2 linked regions of the Elephas maximus indicus genome follow. The protein of the gene in region 1 purifies or fractionates together with the protein of each later gene. This does not show direct contact. Links are inferred from orthologs where the notes say so. Each region holds a gene or a part of one and is shown on either strand. Other genes may lie near its edges. The genes, in order: IFT88 and IFT25.

The links.
Region 2: the proteins of IFT88 (region 1) and IFT25 purify together in Homo sapiens (affinity purification with mass spectrometry; 3 studies listed by BioGRID and IntAct, with this or other methods). This does not show direct contact. The link is inferred for Elephas maximus indicus from reciprocal best matches to the Homo sapiens genes IFT88 and IFT25.

The regions. Positions count from the first base shown.
Region 1 is NC_064841.1:50,806,482-50,816,998, reverse strand, and holds the start of IFT88 (intraflagellar transport protein 88 homolog), read right to left. Parts: upstream 5,268-10,517; 5' UTR 5,097-5,267; intron 1-5,096. UniProt on the Homo sapiens protein: Positively regulates primary cilium biogenesis. Also involved in autophagy since it is required for trafficking of ATG16L and the expansion of the autophagic compartment.
Region 2 is NC_064821.1:97,419,543-97,430,899, reverse strand, and holds the start of IFT25 (intraflagellar transport protein 25 homolog), read left to right. Parts: upstream 1-6,010; 5' UTR 6,011-6,337; intron 6,338-11,357. UniProt on the Homo sapiens protein: Component of the IFT complex B required for sonic hedgehog/SHH signaling.

The sequences.
Region 1 (10,517 bases):
GTAATGAGTGAACAAATCTGTCTCGGAAAAAAGACAGCCACAATGTTCCTCAGAAGCAAGGACTTAGTCTTGCTGCTTCTGGACATATCATCAGAAAAGACCAATCACTAGAAAAGGGCATCTGTTTGATAGAGTAAAGGGTCAGTGAAAATGAGGAAAACCCTTCATACGACGGATTGGAATGGTGGCTGCAACAACAGGCTCAAACATACCAAAGACTGTAAGGATGGTGCAGGACTGGGCAATGTTTCATCCTGTTATACATAAGGTCACCATGAGTCAGAGTGGACTTGGTGGCAAGTAATGACAACAACAGGGAATCGGGAAAGGCTTCACAGAAAAAGTAGCATTCAAATCAAGTCAACATGTTAGGCAAGTTTTTGGAAAGGGATACTTACCCCCAAAATTTAGATCTTCTATTGAACTATTTCACCTGTTTTAAAATAGTTTCTTTGGAGTTTATACAATTTTAAGTGTTCCAGTAATTTCAGCCTAATCTTATTGCTCAGAATAATACCAAATTATATGGTTTCTTATAACTTTTTATTATTAATTTCTTTATTGAGATATAATTCACATACCATAAAGTTCACCTTTATAAACTGTGCAATTCAATGCTTTTTAGTATATCCAGTGTTGTGCAACCATCACCATCATTAATTTTAGAACGTTGTCATCACCCCAAAAAGAAACCACATTCCCTTAACAGCCACTTCTCATTTCCTCCTAACCCCCACAGCCCTAGGCAACCACCGATCTACTTTCTGCCTTTATGGATTTGCCTATTGTGGACTCTATACAATGAAATCATACACTGTGTGGCCTTCTGTGTCTGGCTTCTTTCATCCAGCATAATGTTTTCAAGGTTCATCCATGTTGTAGCATATGAGTACTTCATTTCTTTCTTTTTAACAGCTTTATTGAGATATAATTCACATGTTATTCACCCATTTAAAGTGAACAATGAAATGAGTTTTAGTATACTCACAGATGTGCAACTATCACTACAATCAATTATAGAATATTTTTATCATATAATTCATTTCTCCATACTCTTTAGCTATCACTCCCTATCCTCCACATCCACCCTCAGCCCTAGGTAACCAGTAATCTACTTTATATCTCTATAAATTTGCATATTCTGCACATCTCATATAAACGGAAGCACATAATACATGGTCTTTAATGGCTGGCCGTTTTCACTCAGCATGTTTTCAAGATTCATTAACATTGTAGCATGTATCAGTACTTTATCCCTTTTATGGAAATAATATTACATTTTAAACCTATGCCACATTTTGTTTATCCATTCATCCATCTACTGATGGACATCTGGATTGTTTCTATTTTTTGGCTATTATGAATAACGCTCCTGTGAACATTTGTGTACAAGTTTTTACGTGGACATATTTTTGTTTCTCTTGGACATAAACCTAGGAGTGGAACAGCTAGGTCAAATGGGAACACTACGCTTAAATTTATGAGAAACTGCCATACTGTCTTCCAAAACGGCTGTAAAATTTTACATTCCCACTAGCAGTGTATAGGGGTTCTAATTTCTCCACATCCTTGTCAACACTTGTTATTATCTGACTTTGATTACAGCCACCCTAGTGTGTTTAAAGTGGTATCCTACTGTGGTGTTAATCTGCATTTGCCTTCATGACTCACAATATTGAGCATCTTTTCATATGCTTATCGAGTATCGATGGATCTCTGGAGAAATGTTTATTGAGAGCCTTTGCTCGTTTTTTAGCTGGGTCTTATGTCCTTTTATTGTTGAGCAGTAGAATTCTTTATACATTCTGAATACCAGACCTTTATCAGATACATGATTTACAAATATTTTCCGTTATGAAGGCAGTCCTTTCACTTTGATAGTGTCCTTTGAAGTACAAAAGTTTTAAAATTTACGATGTCCAATTTATCCATTTTTTCTTTGGTTACTTGAGCTTTTGGTGTTGTATCTAAGAAATCATGGCCTAATCCAAAGAAGATTTACACTTGGGTTTTCTTCTAAGAGTTTTATAGTTTTAGATCTTACATTTAGGTCTTTAATCCATTTTGAGTTAATTTCTCAATAATTTCTGAAGATGAAAATTCACTACTATAAAATCAACTGTCAAAAGACAATTCATCCCACAATACCTTCAAAATGGTATTAAAAGTAACTAGTGGAAGATAAAGTACTTTAACTCAAAAGCTTTAGGTCAGATAATGCCAACCAGCTGTTCTCAAACTTTAGTGTGTATCAGATTCCTAAGGGCATGTTAAAATAGATTGCTGCCCCCCCTTTCTGACTGAGGAAATCTACTATGGGGGATATCACCACCCCTCCACCTCTTACAATGTGCATTTCTAAACAAGTTCCAAGGTGATGCTGATTCTGCTGGTTTGGAAGCCATGCTAAAAACCAGTCAGCCGTCCATACCTGCAGGTTCTGCATCCTTGGATTCAACCAACCACGGATTGAAAATATCCAAAAAAGAAAAAAACGGTAAAAACAAAGTTCCAAAAGACCAAAACTTGAATTTGCTGCATGCTGAACGCTATGCTAAATCCACAGGAATGGAGTAATGTGTAAGCATACTCTGCTGTAACCTCCCATCATTTCACAGATCCTCAGCCGTTGTTTGAGCATTGTCTGCCTTGCATCTCATTCATTCTCTACTTGTGTTGTGTGCACTCTTTGTTTCTGTGAAAAAATGGCTCCTAAAAAGCAATGAAATGGTCAAAGCAATCCCTCAAAGGCTAAATGTGAGGGGGTTGAGTGGGAGGAAGGAGTTTAAGGCTAGTAAGGCATGGCTGGCTACCTATGTAAAGTGCTACAGCCTCGAGAACTTAAAGATTACTGGAGAATTGGCATCAGTTGATGCCAAGGCATCATCAGTGTTCCCAAAAGAGCTGAATATACTCATAGAAGAGAAAGGCTTACTTCCAGGGCAAGTCTTCAATTGTGATGAACTATTTACAAAGCATTAGTATTAAGACAGAGGTCCCCAGGCTGTGGAAAGTTCCACTGCCTCAAGGAGCTTGCTTGGCATGCCCCATAGCTTTACATTAAATCCTGGTTCCCCTCTCCTTAACTACTGCCCAAAACTAGAGGTAATTGGGGGAAACCAGTTTAAGCACAATGTTGACATTCAGGATAACCTTTCAGCTCATTAAATACCTCATACATAGTAACTTCCTCACACCAGGTGGAATTTATCCACCATTTTCTCAACCCACAATGCATGAAGTTATATGTAAACCCCGCTCAGCTTACATAGTATCATTAAGAATGTTGTTGACATAACTTGTATGAACTTGCTACTTGTAAACCCCTTAAAAGTAACATTCTCCCTAGCCCTCGATAAGCAGTCTTGGCATCAGCACTGCCTACTATTCCCTTCCTTACACAATGAAATAAAGGTACCTTTCTACTCTCCCGCCCTGGTCTCGTTTATTGGCTGAGACAAGTCATGCTGAGCAGACCCTGGAGTTTCCACCTAGCAACAGCATTAGGTACTGTAAGTTATCTAGAGATGATCTGAAGTATATGGGAGGATGTGTGTAGGTTATACGCAAATGCCATGCCATTTTATATAAAACACCTGACCAACTGCAGGGGCCCTGGAACCAATCCCACGCAGATAAGGCTGAATGACTGTACTATGCTAAACAAAATCTTCCCGAATATAAGCCCTATTTAAGTCAGCTTAGCTTATACACAAAGTCATAAAAATGTGCAACTTTTATAACTAGAGAACCAACTGAAAAAAATTTAGACTTGGAAGAGTCTTTAGTTGAAGAGACATCTTATTGAACGTGCTTATTTTAAATTTGTGGAAACAAAGGCCATGAAAGGTGAAGTGAATTACCCATGGCTAACAGCTATGAGGGAAACCCTGGTGCCGTAGTGGTTAAGAGTTCGGCTGATAACCAAAAAGTCGGCAGTTCGTATCCACCAGGAGCTCCTTAGAAACCCTATGGGGCAGCTTTACTTTGTCCTATAGGGTTGCTATTGAGTCAGAATTGACTTCACAACAACGGGTTCACAGCTATGAGTGACAGAACAAATACTACAATTCAAGTGGTCCTGGATTGTCCAAGCTATTTCAAAAGCACTTTCAACACACAACAGGCTTTTATGTTAAGATAATCTGGAGATGATGCCACCTCATTGCTTGTAAAACCTTTTTTAAGTGTTGATTTCTTTTTTTATGACTACGATGGACAGTCTATTTCTAAGATGCCTAGTGTAGCCCACAACCAGAAAATTAGCTTTGTAAATGAAAAAATGGAATTCTAGGTCTGGGGAAAAAAGTGCTTCGAATCTTCGTAATATTTTATCTTTGCGAGATGTACACACTTTATGCGTTGTTAGGTAATTTTACATTTCACTCCTGACTAAACCTTTCACGAGCAAATTCAAAAGCTTTACAGTACAACACAAAAACTAAAGAGTCCTGTTCAACGCAAAATTCAAGTGGTGGTCAAATGGTTAGATTTTTTTGAATTTGTTAACTATGTGACTTGGAATAGTCATCTCGGCAGATTAAAACTGCCTGCCCCTGTTAAAAGAGTAATAAAAACTCGTGACCACTGGAAACAAACGTTTGGAAATCAACACTGGCGTTTCAGAGTTGACAAATGTAGGCACCTAAAGCAGAAATGTGACGGAACCACACATCCCACGGCTTGTCCCCCGTCTCCCCCGCCTCCCCCCCTCCGCCTCCGCATCCCCCCCCACCCCGCCCCGCCCCGAATGGGCGTCGGTGGTACCGGAGGGGCGGGCTGCGGGGGCGAGGGGCGGGCTGCGGGGGCGAGGGGCGGGCTGCGGGGGCGAGGGGCGGGCTGCGGGGGCGAGGGGCGGGCTGCGGGGGCGAGGGGCGGGCGGGGCCTCCAAAGCCTAGTGGGCCCGCGCAGCCAAGGAACTGCACCACAAGGCGGAGCCGCCGGAAAATCCGGGGGGAGCGGGGTCGGCGTTCCAGACTCAATCTGCCAAAAGGGCGCGAGCCAGAATCGGCCTTCTACTCGGGTCGGAGCATCTTCGCCCGCGCCGGCGAAGGGACGCTCGGAAGTACTCTCTGCCCACCCAGCCTTTTTCCTACCTCACGTTGAGGGGAATGGGGGTGACCACGCGTAAAGCCCAAGGAAGACGCGGCCTTTGTGCGAATCTACTACGCCTCCGTCTTCTCAGGCCAGACCGCTGCGCCCGGAGCCGTTACCAAGAGCGGGATCCAGGGAAGCCGTTCCCACACTCCTCCGCGCGGAGGGGCGGTGCCGGGCGCGCCCCGCGGGGGTGGGGGCAGGACAGGCGGTCTCGAGGGGGCGGGGCGTGGGACGGCGAGCTGCTCGGGGGAGCGGTGCAGGGCTGGTGACCCTGGAGGGCGGTGGACGGCCCTCTAGGGGGCGAGGGGCTCGGGGGGTGGAAAGGGAAAAGAAGGGAGCGGGCCGCCTGTGTGTGGAGAGGCGGAGCGAAGGAAACCAAGCTCTCATAAATCCTGATGACACCAGCCAGAAAGCAGATTACCAAAGGATGACACTTGGGTGTCTGTAAAATATCTCCTGTAGCCACCACACTAATTTTGGGAGCCTAGGAAACTCTGTAATCACTGTCACCGTACAAGATTATTCTCAGATGATACCTGTCTGAGAAGTCTCGCCTCTTCTTCTTCTCTCCTGTGGGCAATGTGATCCCATACCACCTGTGCACACTTTCATTCTTGCTCTTAATGTATGCTTTATGCTCTCCGCACTGGACAGGGCCTTAAGATCCTGTGACCCTAGTACCTTGCAAGTGTTTTCTTCTATTCAGTTGAGTGATTCAGAGTTTGACATACGTAACTAATGTTGTAATGATGCACTAAGCAATCTATAATCATTTTTTATTGCGCCAGTTGCACTGGTCTCTTCCAAAGGGATGCAAAACCCTGCTGGCTCCCATAGCCTTCGTCTCTCTTCTTCTTTGTTCTCTTGAGAAACGGCCTTCACCCTGCAAGATGAGAGCTGGGAAGGCTGCCAGGCACTTTTTTTTTTTTTCTAATTTTTATTGTGCTTTAAGTGAAAGTTTACAAATCAACTCAGTCTTTCACACAAAAACCCATATATACCTTGCTACATACTCCCAATGACTCTCTACCTAATGAGACAGCCTGCTCTCTCCTTTCACTGTCTCTTTTTCGTGTCCATTTCGCCAGCTTCTAACCCCCTCCACCCTATCATCTCCCCTCCAGGCAGGAGATGCCAACATAGTCTCAAGTGTCCACCTGATCCAAGAAGCTCACTCCTCACCAGCATCCCTCTCCTATCCATTGTCCAGTCCAATCCATGTCTGCAGAGATGGCTTCAGGAATGGCTCCTGTCCTGGGCCAACAGAAGGTCTGGGGAACATGACTACCGGGGTCCTTCTAGTCTCAGTCAGACCATTAAGTCTGGTCGTTTTATGAGAATTTGTGGTCTGCATCCCACTGCTCTCCTGCTCCCTCAGGGGTTCTCTATTGTGTTCCCTGTCAGGGCAGTCATTGGTTGTAGCTGGGCACCACTAGTTCTTCTGGTGTCAGGATGATGTAGTCACTGGTTCATGTGGCCCTTTCTGTCTCTTGGGCACATAATCGCCTTGTGTCCTTGGTGTTCTTCATTCTCCTTTGATCCAGCTGGGTTGAGACCTATTGATGCATCTTAGATGGCTGCTTCCTAGCGTTTAAAACCGGACACCACTCTTCAAAGTGGGATGCAGAATGTTTTAATAGATTTTATTAGGCCAGTTGACTTAGATGTCCCCTGAAACCATGGTCACCAGACCCCTGCCCCTTCTACGCTGGCTTTCGAAGCATTCAGTTTATTCAGGAAACTTCTTTGCTTTTGGTTTAGTCCAATTGTGCTGACCTCCCCTGTATTGCGTGCTGTCTGTCCCTTCTTCTAAAGTAGTTCTTATCTACTAATTAGCGAATGCCCCTCTCTCCTTCCCCCTCCCCCCTCTCGTAACCACAAAAGAATGTTTTCTTCTCAGTTAAAACTATTTCTCAAGTTCTTATAGTAGTGGCCTTATCCAAATTTGTCCTTTTGCAACCAACTGATTTCACTCAGCATAATCCCTTCCAGGTTCCTCCATGGTATGAAATGTTTCACAGATTCCTCACTCTTCTTTATCGATGTGTAGTATTCCATTGTGTGAATATACCATAATTTATTTATCCATTCATCCATTGATAGGCACCTTGGTTGCTTCCATCTTTTTCCTATTGTAAACAGTGCTGCAATAAACATGGGTGTGCATATATCCGTTCGTGTAAAGGCTCTTATTTCTCTAAGATATATTACAAGGACTGGGATTGCTGGATTGTATGGTAGTTCTATTTCTGGCTTTTTAAGGAAGCGCCAAATCGATTTCCAAAGTGGTTGTACCATTTGACATTCCCACCAGCGGTGTAGAAGTGTTCCAATCTCTCCACATCCTCTCCAACATTTATTATTTTGTGTTTTTTGGATTAATGCCAGCCTTGTTGGAGTGAGATAAAATCTCGTTATAGTTTTGATCTGCATTCCTCTAATGGCTAATGATCGTGAACATTTCCTCATATATCTGTTAACTACCTGAATATCTTCTTTAGTGAAGTGTCTATTCATATCTTTTGCCCATTTTTTAATCAGGTTATGTGTCTCTTTGCAGTTGAGTTTTTGCAGTATCAAGTAGATTTTAGAGATCAGGCGCTGATCAGAAATGTCATAGCTAAAAATTTTTCCCAGTCTGTAGGTAGTCTTTTTACTCTTTTGGTGAAGTCTTTGGATGAGCATAGGTGTTTGATTTTTAGGAGCTCCCAGTTATCTAGTTTTTCTTCTACATTCTTTATACTGTTTTGTAGACCGTTTAGGCCATGTATTAGGGCTCTTAATGCTGTCCCTATTTTTTCTTCCATGATCTTTATCGTTTTAGATTTTATATTTAGGTCTTTGATCCCTTTTGAGCTCATCTTTGTGCATGAAGTGAGGTATGGGTCTTGTTTCATTTTTTTGCAGATGGATATCCAGTTATCCTGGCACTATTCGTTAAAAAAGACTGTCTTTTCCCCGTTTAACTGTTTTGAAGCCTTGGGCAAATATTAACTGCTCATATGTGGATGGATTTATGTCTGGGTTCTCAATTCTGTTCCATTGGTCTATGTATCTGTTGTTGTACCAGTACCAGGCTGTTTTGACTACTGTGGTGGTACAATAGGTTCTAAAATCAGGTAGAGTAAGGCCTCCCACTTTGTTCTTCTTTTTCAGTAATGCCTTATTCATCCGGGGCCTCTTTCCCTTCCATATGAAGCTGGTGATTTGTTTCTCCATCTCATTAAAGAATGTGGTTGGGATTTGGATCAGAATTGCATTAAATGTATAGATTGCTTTTGGTAGAATAGATATTTTTACAATGTTAAGTCTTCCTATCCACAAGCAAGGTATGTTCTTCCACTTATGTAAGTCTCTTTTGGTTTCTTGCGGAAGTGTACTGTAGTTTTCTTTGTAAAAGTCTTTTACATCTCCGGTAAGATTTATTCCTAAGTATTTTATCTTCTTGGGGGTTACCTTAAATGGCATTGATTTGGTGATTTCCTCTTTGATGTTCTTTTTGTTGGTGTAGAGGAATCCAACTGATTTTTGTATGTTTATCTTGTATCCTGATACTCCACTGAACTCTTCTATTGGTTTTAGTAGTTTTCTGGAGGATTCCTTAGGGTTTTCTGTGTATAAGATCATGTCATCTACAAATAGAGATACTTTTACGTCTTCCTTGCCAATCTGGATGCTCTTTATTTCTTTTTCTAGCCTAATTGCTCTAGCTAGGACTTCCAGCACATTGTTGAATAAGAGTGGTAATAAAGGGTATCCTTGTCTGGTTCCTGATCTCAGTGGGAATGTTTTCAGGCTCTCTCCATTTAGGGTGATGTTGGCTGTTGGCTTTGTATAATTGCCCTTTATTATGTTGAGGAATTTTCCTTCTATTCCTATTTTGCTGATAGTTTTTACCATGAATGAGCGTTGAATTTTGTGAAATGCCTTTTCTGCATCATTTGATAAAATCATGTGATTTTTGTCTTTTGTTTTACTTATGTGGTGGATTACATTCATTGTTTTTGTAATGTTGAACCATCCTTGCATACCTGGTATGAATCCCACTTGGTCATGGTGAATTATTTTTTTGATATGTTGTTGAATTCTACTGGCTAGATTTTTGTCGAGGATTTTTGCATCTACGTTCATGAGGGATATAGGTGTATAATTTTCTTTTCTTGTGGTGTCTTTACCTACTTTTGGTATCAGGGATATGGTGGCTTCATAGAATGAGTTTCGGAGTATTCCATCCTTTTCTATGCTCTGAAATACCTTTAGTAGTAGTGCTGTTAACTCTTCTCTGAAAGATTGGTAGAACTCTGCAGAGAAGCCGTCTGGAACAGAGCTTTTTTGGGGGGAGTTTTTTGATTACCTTTTCAATTCCTTATTTCGTTACGGGTCTATTTAGTTGTTCTACCTCTGTTTCTGTTAGTTTAGGTAGTGTGTTCCTAGGAATTCATCCATTTCCTCTAGGTTTTCAAATTTGTCTGAGTCTAGTTTTTCATAGTAACCTTATATGATTCTTTTAATTTCAGTTGGGTCTGTTGTAATATCGCCCATCTTATTTCGTATTCGGGTTATTTGCTTCCTCTCCTGTTTTTCTTTTGTCAGTTTGTCCAGTGGTTTATCAATTTTGTTGATTTTTTTCAAAAAAACAACTTTTGGTCTTGTTAATTCTTTCCATTGTTTTTCTGTTTTCTATTTCATTTAGTTCAGCTCTAATTTTTATTATTTGTTTTCTTCTGGTGCCTGTGGGTTTCTTTTGTTGCTCTCTTTCTATTTGTTCAAGTTGTAGGGATAATTCTTTGATTTTGGCCCCTTTTTCTTTTTTGATGTGTGCATTTATTGAAATAAATTGGCATCTGAGCATCACTTTTACTGTGTCCCAAAGGTTCTGATAGGAAGTATTTTCATTCTCATTGGATTCTCTGAATTTCTTTATCCATCCTTAATGTCTTCTATAATCCAGTCTTTTGTGAGCAGGATATTGTTCAGTTTCCAAGTATTTGATTTCTTTTCCCTGCTTTTTCTGTTATTGATTCCCAATTTTATGGCCTTATGGTCAGAGAAGATGCTTTGTAATATTTCAGTGTTTTGGATTCTGCTAAGGCTAGCTTTATGACCTAATATGTGGTCTATTCTAGAGAATGTTCCACGTGCACTAGAAAAGAAAGTATACTTGGTTGCTGTTGGGTGGAGTGTTCTGTATATGTCTACGAGGTCAAGTTGGTTGATTGTGGCATTTAGATCTATTGAGCTTCTTTCTGGATGTCCTGTCCTTCACCGAAAGTGGGGCGTTGAAGTCTCCTACTATTATTGTGGAGCTGTCTGTCTCACTTTTCAATGCTGATAGAGTTTGTATTATGTATCTTGCAGCCCTGTCACTGGGTGCATAAATATTTAATATGGTTATGTCTTCTTGGTGTATTGTCCCTTTA
Region 2 (11,357 bases), on another chromosome or scaffold:
AACCCATTGCCATGGAGTTGATTCCGGCTCAACCACCCTATAGGACAGGGTCGAACTGCCCTTGAACTGTTGACTTTTTGGTTGGCAGCTGAGCTCTTCAGCCACCATGCCACCAGGGCTCTCTTGGTTATCTAGTGCTGCTATAGCAGAAATACCACAAGTGGATTTATCTCTCACAGTCTAGAAGTTGAATTCAGAGCGCCAGCTCCAGGGGAAGTCTTTCGCTCTCTGTTGGTTCTGGGGGAAGGTCCTTATCATCAATCTTCCCCTGGTCTAGGAGCTTCTCAGCACAGGGACCCCAGGTCCAAATGATAGACTCTGCTCCTGGCTCTGCTTTCTTGGCGTTAGGAGGTCCCTTTCCTCTCTGCTCGCTTCCCTCTTCTATATCTCAAAAGAGATTGACTCAAGACACAACCTAATCCTGTAGATTGAGTCCTGCCTCACTGACATCATAGAAGTTAGGATTTACAACACATAGAATAAGCACATCAGATAACAAAATGGTAGACAACCACACAATACTGGGAGTCATGGCTTAGCCAAGTTGACACACATTTTGTCCGGACACAATTCGATCCATAACAGCACACGTGAATATCTGAATCTCGATCATGTGCCTGGCACTTTGCCTGTCTTCTTTTATTTAGTAACAACCTTGAGCAGATGAGGAAACGGCGGCTCAGACAGGGTGAGCAACTTGTCCAAGGTTACATAGCCTGTGAGCTGGGGAGACCAGAATCTTTCTGCTGTAGGGAAATAAGGAACACAGTCAACCCCAACTCAGATGGGGTAGGGTTATAAGGCTCTGTGGTAGGGTCCAGAGCTAGGCAGTGCCCTGGTAAATAGGGCATTCCAGGATACAATGGCCAGCTCCTGTTTCCCCAGTGACCTTGTGCCCGTCCTGTGGTCCCGGGTGGTGGCGCTGCACTCCGACTGTCTTCAGGTATTGCGAATGCATCCCAAGGAGTCTCTGCCAGGACCACGTGCAGCACTGCTCCGACTGGTCTGACGAGTACTCCTGCCCTGGACTCTGAGCAGTCCCCCAGTCCAGAGTGGGAGACGGATGGATGGAATGACATTTAGAAGCCTTCACGTGTGCATCAAATCCTAGAACATGAGGGTAGGAAGGAGCCTTTGAGATCATGCAGTACGATCTGTGTACCTTCTCTGAATAGGAATTGCCTCTCCTGCTTTCAAGTTGTTCGGCCTCTAATTGAATACCTGCAGTGACAGGGAGCTCACTACCATGTTAGGTAGCTCCCAACAAAGATGAGGGCTTCCGTGATTTCCGTGCTTCTACACGGATGAAATCTGCTTTCACTGCTCCAGGAAAGGCTTGCAGGTCATGATTTTGTCACCCCTTGGAGAGCAGACAGGTCTGGGATTCAAATGCCAGCAGAAGTGTTTAGCCCTTGTCATGGATTGAATTGTGTCCCCCCCCAAAATATGTGTCAACTTGGTTAGGCCATGATTCCCAGTATTGTGTGGTTGTCCTCCATTTTGTGACTGTAATTTATGTTGAGAGGATTAGGGTGGGACTGTAACACCACCCTTACTCGGGTCACCTTCCTGAACCAGTATAAAGGGAGTTTCCTGGGGTGTGGCCTGCACCACCTTTTATCTCTCAAGATAAAAGGAAAGGGAAGCAAGCAGAGAGTTGGGGACCTCATATCACCAAGAAAGCAGCACCCGGGGCAGAGCGCATCCTTTGGACCTGGGGTCCCTGCATCTGAGAAGCAACTCGACCAGGGGAAGATTGATGACAAGGACTTTCCTCCAGAGCCAACAGAGAGAGGAAGCCTTCTCCTGGAGCTCACACCCTGAATCTGGACTTGTAACCTACTAGACTGTGAGAGAATAAATTTCTCTTTGTTAAAGCCATCCACTTGTGGTATTTCTGTTATAGCAGCACTAGGTAACTAAGACAGCCCTTTTGGATGGCACCTATGTGAAACGTGTGCCACTTTTTGCCCCTTTAGTACCTAAGGCAGACATTGCTAACCAATCATCCAGGTTGGGCTACAGCCTTAGCACTTTTTCTCAACTCGGTAATCCTAGCAGGCCCTACTTATAGATCATGTGAGATGAATCATGAGACAGGGTAATTGTCACCTGGCCAGTGGGAAGCTATCCCAGGAGGTTCTGAGCTCCTCAGTGCCCCTCTGTCGTCCTTCCCATTCTCCATCCTCCCATCCCCCATCTCCCACCCCCGCTCCTGCCCATCACCAGCTGCCCAGATAAACAAGCCAGGTTTCTGGAAGCAGGATTGTATTTTGGTCCTGGAGCCTGAGTGCACACCTTTCCAGCTTCACAACATTTGGTCTTGGAGTTTCTCAGCACACCTTTCCAGCTTCACAACATTCAGGCAGGCAAGGAGATGGATATCTCCATTGAAAAAAAAATGAACCATGAGAAAACTGAGATGCGGGAGGGGCGGTGACTTGGTCAGGATCACAAGCAAAATCCTTGCTGGAACTGGGACTGAACTATGGAGCCCGAGCCCAGAGCCTCTCCTGCTACCAGAGTGATGACACCTTGGCCAGGGATGGAGTCCATGTGAGATATTAAAAAAAAGGTTCACTTGAAAGTCAGATTGTGGCCCACCCTTATTCTGGAAGAGAGTTGGAATCTGCCAGTGAGAAGGTCGCTGTTGAGGGAGACAGATATACAGGTCCCCCCCGCCCCTGCCACTCCACACACATAATCTGAAATGAAGGAGCCCTGGTAGTGCAATGGTTTAAAACTCAGATGCTAACCAAAAGGTTGGAGGTTTGAACCCACCCAGCCACTACATGGGAGAAAGACCTGGAGATCTGCTCCTATAAAGATTACAGCCTAGGAAAATCTGTGGGGCAGTTCTACTCTGTCACCTGGGGTCACTATGAGTCGAAATCTACTCGGTGGCACACAGCAACAACATCCAAAATTAATAAAATCGGTTACATGTATCAGTCCCTGTGAGCTCTGAACTGCAAATGGGTGTCCGAGAGACTGATGAGCTCTGGCTCATTCACTGCCTCAGTCATTCATTCACTCATCCAGCAGTCTCAGAACCTGCTCTGGGCCAAGTTGTGTGTAAGGTTCTGGGCACCCAGAAGCTTGGGGCCTTGGGGGAGACACCCTCACACCGTGGTGAGACCGGTTGGACAGCAGGAAATGCAGGGCCAAGGGCACCAAGGAGGAGCCTCCAGGAGCCAGGACACAATCACCTTTCTCACCCTGCTGCTCCCTGGGGTGTCCTTGGCTCTGGCCTCTTTTACTGAACTTCTCTTGAACTGTAGCACAAGCAAGAAGCTGCAGGAGCCCTCGGGGCCTCTGTAGTTCTAACGACAGGACTAGAGGAGGCTTCCTTCCCAGAAACAGAGGCATTTGAGTTGGGTTCAAGAGGGCTAGGAGAATTTCCAGAGGTAGAGGCAGGGGAGAAGCACATTCCAAGCTGAGGCCATGCAAACAAATGCACGGAGGTGTGACAGTACTGAACGGCACAGCCAGGGAATGGCCAGCAGCCCAGAGTGGCCAAAGCATGAGGTGGAGGGAAGGGGCCAGAGAGGTGAGCAGGGGCTGGATCTTGAAGGGCATAATGTACCACACTTTATCCTATAAAGGCAGTGGGTATCATCAAGGGGTAATAAACTAGAACTGTCTGGGGCTTCAGTGACAATTTTAATTGCAACAGTCGGAGAAAGAAATGTCAAGGTCTCAGATGAGGTGGGCAGAGAAGAGGGGTGGTTAGGGCTATTTACAGGTAGAAGCCATGGGTCTCAGGGCCTACTGGGGGCAAGGTATGGAGTCTGAGGATGACTAAGGAGTCCAGGATGCCTGGGAAGGGGCTCCTGGACCCCTGTCCTGGCCGATGCTCTCTCCAGTGGGATGCCAGTCTCAAGGGGAAGAGAGGGTCAAATTGGTCCCCGAGGAACAAGAAAAGTTCCAGAGGCTCACTCCAGTACTCTAATGCCAATGGGTTCCTGAATCAAGGAAGCCCTGAGCACTGGTTATAGAGAGAGCGTTGCTGTGGAGAGGCCATGCAAGCTGGGCCAGATGATGAACTTGAGCCTATGTTTGCTCAAACTAAGTCAGCCTGTGGTTCAGGTGTCCAGAAAGCACCCAGTTCTCAGCAGGAGCTGGTGGTGATGTGGTTGGGCCCAGTGGGAGAGAAGTAGTTGGGTCCTCAGTGGTCACCCAGTCCTGGGTTTCTTCTGTGTCCTGCAGCTCTTCTCAGAAAACCCCCCAGAGGCACCAGCACCTCCCCCTCAAAACCAATCCCATCCATGGTCCTCTGGGGGTTAAAAAGTTTCATTTCACAGGATGGAGAAACTGAGGCTAAGACAAACTTGTCTGGGTCAGTAGCAGGGCAAGGACTAAAAGCCGGGTATTTAGGTGCACACAGAGCTCTGATAGTACAGTGGTTAAGAGCTACAGCTGCTACCAAAAGGTTGGCAGTTCAAATCCACCAGCTGCTCCTTGGAAACCCTATGGAGCAGTTCTACTCTGTCCTCTAGGGTCACTAAAAGTTGGAATCGAGTCGACTGCAACAAGTTTTGGTAGGTGCACAGAGTTAGCATTTATTGAACCCTTACTATGTACCAGGCACCAGTAAATAGTAATCTCACAACCGTTTAGTCTTCACAACTGTCTTTATGCTGAGGTTTAGAAGCAGCTTGTTGAAGGGCACATGTCTGCTGTACCAAACTCTGAAGTCTGGACACAGCCACGATAGTTTGCTGTATTCTGTTATGTCTCAGGAGGTCTGGAAGGCTTCATAGTGGAGATGATGCCTGAGCAGGGCCTTGGAGGAGGATTAGGAATAGCCAAGAGGGAAGCAGGGCGAGGGCATTCCAGGCTGAAGAGATGCCCAGGTTCAGCACTGGGTGGGCGCCTGGCAACTGAGGGAGCACAAGGTAGTCCAGCATGATTAGGGGTACGGGGAGAAGCCTTGGGTCTGAGCTGCAGAGAGTGAGCTTGATTTTAGAGGCCCTGTGGTGGTGGCAGAGGTTTTCCGCAGGAGGTACACGTTTGATTCCTCCTTCAGGGGAGGGGCTGTCCTCATCTGAACATCAGGAATAAGGATACATCACCAGACTGCAGTCTCACTGAGCGGAAAAAGTGGGATCCTGAACATGAACGCCATTTGGAAACAGTACAGCTTCACGCACCGGAAAGAGGAGCGGCAAGCACTCTACTGCTGTTAGTTGCCATTGAGTCGATTCCGATGAGTGGTGACCCCACGTGTGCAGGGTAGAGCTGCCCTGTAGGGTTTTCAAGGCTGTGACCTTTCAGAAGCAGATTGCCAGGCCTGCCTTCCAGAGCGCCTCTGGGTAGGTTCCAACAGCCAACCTTTCCGTTAGTAGTTAAGCGCTTAATTGTTTGTGCCACCCGTGGACTCCAAGCACTATTCTAGGGGCTTTAATTAATATTAACAGCCAGAATTTGTTGAGCTGAGCAGTTAGTACTTGGCAGGCACTATTCCAAACCTCTGTATGTCTCATCTCTGGTATCTCATTTTCTCTAATCCTCACGAGCCCTCCAGGAACCTGGTTTGGTTATCTGCACTTTACAAAAGAGGAAACCGAGGCATAGAGAGGTGAAGAGCTTGCTTAAGATCACATAGCTTTTAAGAGCAGAGCCAGAATTTAAATCTTGATAGGCCCAAAGCCAGAGGCGGCCATACCCCCTCCTTGGTGTCTTTTTGGCCAGGTCTCCCTAGGCCAGGCCAGGGGGCAGCAGCCTGTAAACAGAAGGTAGCTGGCGTTGGCAGGAGAACTGTTCTTTTCTTGTTTGTCCGTTTTTCCTTTCAAATAGGAGCAGTTGCCGTAGCAACCTCCCAAACAGCGCTTTGTAAACCAGCACCAGAAAGACACAAGGCCCAAGGTAGCCAGGCAGGGCCCTCCCCCAGCTCACTTCAACAGTGCGGGGGATTTAATGCCACAGCCTGGAGCAAGAGCCCAGGCAGTCAGCGTCAATATTTGCCATCTCCCAGCCTCCTGGCCCCAGCTCCAAGATCAGTACTTTAAGTACAACAAGTTCTTTGCTGTGCAAACACGAAGGGATAGATGAATGGAATTTAAAGTGGCTCAGGCTTTGCCCCAGGGTCTGGGCTGGAAATCTGGTCTGGTTTAACCCTCTACCATCGCTGTTTGCCTGGGACTCTTTCTTCATCCTTAGACTTACAGAACCACAGACATCAGAGCTGGCAAGGATCTCAGAGAGCAGCCAGGTTTTTAACAAAGGAGGACACTGCTTCCCAGGGATGGAAGGGATCAGCCCAAAGCTGCACTGCCTGGTGGGCTGTCGCTGGGATTTTGATACTCCTGGGGCCAACTGAGCAACTCCAGGTCAGGTAGAAGTGGTTTTTTTTTTTTTTTTTTTTTTTAACACTTATTGAGAGATAATTTACATACGATGAAATGCACAGATTTAAGTGTATGGTACAATGAGTTTTTTAGAAAAAGCTTTATTAAGTTATAATTGACATCCAATAAGCTATACTAGATCGGCAGTTCGAATCTACCAGCCACTCCTTGGAAACCCTATGGGGCAGTTCTACTCTGTCCTATAGGGTTGTTATGAGTTGGAATTGACTCGATGGCAACTGGAATGGGAAATACATGTTCAAAGTATACAGTTTAATAAGTTTTGACTATCTCCACAGTGAAGATATGGACAAATCCATCACCCCCAAAACTTGTCTCATGCTCTTTGCAGTAACTCTCTCCCCGCTATCCGCTCCATTCTCAGGCAACTGATTTATCTTCTGTCATTTTTCTGGAATTTTATATAAATGGAATTATATCGTATGTACTTTTTTTTGTCTGGTTTGTTTCACTCATAATAACTATTTTGAGATGTATGCATATGCTAGTGTGTACAATAGTTCATTCCTTTTTATTGCTGAGGAACGTTCCATTGTATAAATATATCACAGTTGGGTTATCCATTGATTTGTTGATGGTTGGGTTCTTTCCAGCTTGGGCTGAAAAACGAAGTTGCCATGAAAATTTGTGTGTGAGTCTTTACGTGGACATACACTTTCATTTATGTTCTATGAATGTCTAGGAGTGGAATGCCTGGATGTGGTAGGCATGTGTTTAACTTCCTGAAACTGCCTTTTTCCAAAGTGGCTGTGTTATTTATGCTCACACCCTCAGGGCAGGAGAGTTGCAGTTGCTCTATATCCTCTCCAGTACTTGGTATGGTTAGTCTTTTTAATTTAAGCCTTTTTTAGCCTAGTAGTAAAGGAGCTCTAGTGGTGCCAATGGTTAAGCACTCAGCCGCTAACTGAAAGGTTAACATTTCGAACCCACGCAGAGGCTCTGTGGCAGTCACTCTGAGTAGGAATCTGCTTGTCGGCACCTACTAACCAGTGTAGTAGTATCTCATCGTGTTTTACTTTGCATTTCCCTAATAACTAAGGATGCTGAGCATCTTTTCATGTGCTTATTTGACATCAGTGTATCTTCCTTGGTGAAACTCTATGCAAATCTTCTTTCTTTATTTTAAATTGGATTGCTTGTTTCTCAATATTGCATTTTGACAGTGCTTTATATACTCTTTTTTTTATATATATACTCATATGAGATTTATAATTTGAAAATAATTTCTCCCAATCTGTGGCTTGTCTTTTCATTCTTTTAAAAGTGTCTTTCAAAGAGCAGACTTTTTTTTTTTTTTATGCAGTCCAATTGATCAATTTTTTCTTTTATGGATCATGCTTTTGGTGTTTTATCTATGAAATCATTGCCTAGCCTAAGTTCATGATAATTTTATTCTATGTTTTCTTCTAGGTTTATAATTTTAGGTTTTATATTTAGGTCTCATAGTAAGCTAGACACTGCCTTCTCTGCCTGTGAGACCCTCACTCATCTCATGGGCCTGTGTCTGTGACCTGAACCCACAAAGGGAGCCCTTGCCAGCCCCATCTCTGGGTGATGCAAACAGTTAAGTGCTCAACTATTAGTCATAGGGTTGGCAGATCAAACCCACCCAGAGGCACCTCGGGTGACAGGCCTGGCAATCTGCTTCTGAAAAGAAAACTCTATGGAGCAGTTCTATTCTGCACGCATGGTGTCGTCATGAGTTGAAATCAACTCGACAGCAACTAACAACAACATACATGAACGAACGATTTTTTTCAAAGGTGTAAAGGCAATTCAGTAGAGAAAGAATTATCTTTTCAACAGTTGGTGCTGGAACAATTGGACTCCATAAATAAAAAAATTAATTTTGATCCATTTCTCATTTAAAAAAAAAAACAACCCATTGCCATCGAGTCGATTCCGACTCATAGCGACCCTACAGGACAGAGTAGAACTGCCTCATAAGAGTTTCCAAGGAGTGTCTAGTGGATTCGAACTGCCAACCTTTTGGTTAACAGCCATAGCACTTAACCACTACGCCACCAGGGTTTACTCCATTTCTCATACCATATACAAAAATTAACTTAAAATGGAGCATAGACCTAAATGTTGTTGTTATTATCTGCTGCGTAGTCGATTCCAACTCCTTGCGACCCTATGTGTGCAGAGTAGAACTGCTTCATAGGGTTTTCAAGGTGGTGACCTTTTGGAAGCAGATCACCAGGCCTGTCTTCCGAGGAGCCTCTGGGTGAGTTTGAACCGCTAACCTTTTGGCTAGTAGTTGAGTGCTTAACTGTTTGCATCATCCAGGGGCTCCTTGTCCATATATGTGTGAATCTATTTGAGGACTCTCTGGTCTGTTCCATTTACTATTTGTCAATCTTGATGCCGATACCACACTGTCTTGGCCACTGTAGCTTTAGAATAAATCTTGAAATCAGGTGTCGTTAGTCCTCCTACTTTGTTCATGTTCCAAGTTGTTTTGCTATTCTAGGTCCTTTGCATTCCCATGTGAATTTTAGAATCAGCTTGCCAATTTCTGTTTCGAAAAGTCACCAGGGAGAATGATGATGCAATATGAAAAATGTAACCTATGTCAATGAATTGTACATGTAGAAATTGCTGAATAGGTGCGTTTTGCTGTATATATTTTCACCAAATATAAAATAAATATTTTTGAAACAAACAAAAATGTCTCCTAGGATTTTGACTGGGATTGCATTGAAACTATAGATCTGGTTGGAAAGAATTGACATCTTAACAACGTTCAGTCTTCTGACCCATGATCACGTTCTCTCTCTCTCTTTACTAGGTTTCACTGTACAGATCTTGCACATCTTTTGTCAGATTTATTCCTAAGCATTTTATCTTTTTTGACAAATGAGGTTGTTTTGCAATTTTAATTCCCAATTGTTTGTTGCTAAAATACAGAAATAAAATTTGCATATATTGATCATGCATCCTACAACTTTATTAAACTCATTATTTCCAGTAGGTCTTTTGTATAATCCATCAGATTTTCTACATGGATAATCCAGTCATCTGTGAATAAATTTAGTTCTAGTTTTTTTGGTCTGGATGCCTTATTTCTTTTTCCTCTCTTATTGTACTGGCCGTGCAAAATGTTGAATAGGAATGGTGAGAACAGACATCCTTGTCTTTATCCTGATCTTAAGGAGAAAGCATTCAGTCTATTACTACTAAGTATGATGCTAGCTGTAGCTTTTATGTTGATGACTTTGATCAGGTTGAGAAAGTTTCCTTCTATTCTAGTATGCTGAAAGTTTGTATCAGGAATGATGTCGAATTTTTTCTGTGTCTATTGTGATGATCATGTTTCATTTTGTTTGCTAATATGGTGAATTCCATTAACTTATTTTGAAATTTTTAACCAATCTTGCATCCCTGGGATAAACCTCACTTGCCCATCCTTTATATATACATATATGTATACAGATATTCAATTTACTAAAATTTTATTAAGAATTTTTGCATCTATATTCATGAGGGATATTGGTCTCTGTTTTTCTTGTCAGGCTTTGGTATCAGGGTAATGCTGGCTTCATAGAATGGGTTGGGAAGTATTCCCACCTTTCTGGTTTTCTGGAATATTTTGTAATAGAACTGGTATTATTTCTTCCTTAAATGATTGGTAGAATTCCCTAGTGAAGCCATCTGGCCTTGAGATTTTCTTTTCGGGAAGATTTTTAACTAAAAATTCAATTTCTTTAATAAATATAGGACTATTCAGATTATCTGTTTGTTCTTGAGTGAGTTTTCGTAGTTTGTCTTTCATGGGATTTGTCCATTTCTTCAAAGTTACTGAATTTATTGCTATAAAGTTATTTGTAATCTTACCTTATTATCTTTTTAACACTTGTAGAATCTGTAATGACATCTCCACTCTCATTCCTGATATTAGTAATTTGTGTCTTCATTCTCTTTTTCCTTATCAGTTTGGCTAAAGATTTATCAAATTTATTGACCTTCACAAAGAATCACCTGTTGGTTTCACTGATTTTCCATATTTTTTTTCTGTTTTCCATTAATATTCATTCTGATATTTATCATTTCCTTTCTTCTGCTTACTCTGGGTTTCATTTGCTCCTCTTTTTATAGTTTCTTAAGGTGAAAGCTGAAGTAATTAAGGACATTCGTCTTTTCTAACATATGCATTTCATGCTATAAATTTCTCTCTAAGCACTGCATTAACAGCATCCCATTAATTTTGATACGTTGTGCTTCCATTTTCATTCAGTTCAAAATTCCTTTTCCTACTGAGTCAAAATTTGTCTCTCTTTAATTAGTCCGAATCCATAAAACATATCTGTTCCCTCTGGCCCAGGAAAGCTCTTCCTCTGGAAACAGTTGACTGTGTCTTCCTGAGACTTTTTAAGCTGCACAGCCGCAAGGTCTTTAGTTGTTCCTCCTGGAACCTAGGTTTTCAAGACTCGTGAACAAGAGTTGAACATGGCTGCCTTCATTCACCCATTGCTTTGCTTCCTCTTGCTCCAATGTAAGCCGTTGTTGAGCTGGCATGGCCACTGTTTTCCTGTAGGGTAAGAACTGAAACAGCCTGGACTTCTGGCGGCTATAGCCCACTCTCCTTCTCTACTGGATTGTTCGTTGTAGCATATAAACATGTGCTGGTCTTTCTGATATTAAAACAGCTTTCTTCTGTGCCAGGTTCTCCTCTGGTTGGGAAAGTATTCCCAACTCCAAATCAAATTGCTTGTGTCTATGTCTTCCTTGCCTTCTCTGCACCAGGTGGCATGGCTAAGCAGCACCTGCTAACATCTTGGAACACTCACCTCTCTTAGTTTCTGTAATGGTGCACTGTCCTGGTCACCTCCTTCTTTAATCATTCTTTCTCAGTCACCATTTGCTCTGTTTTTCTTTAAATGTTGCCATTCCCTAGGATTCCATCCTTAGCCATCTGTTCACCCCATTCTATCTCAGTGGTTCATAATCTTTTGGAGGTTATTTCCCCCTTTGAGAAAGTGA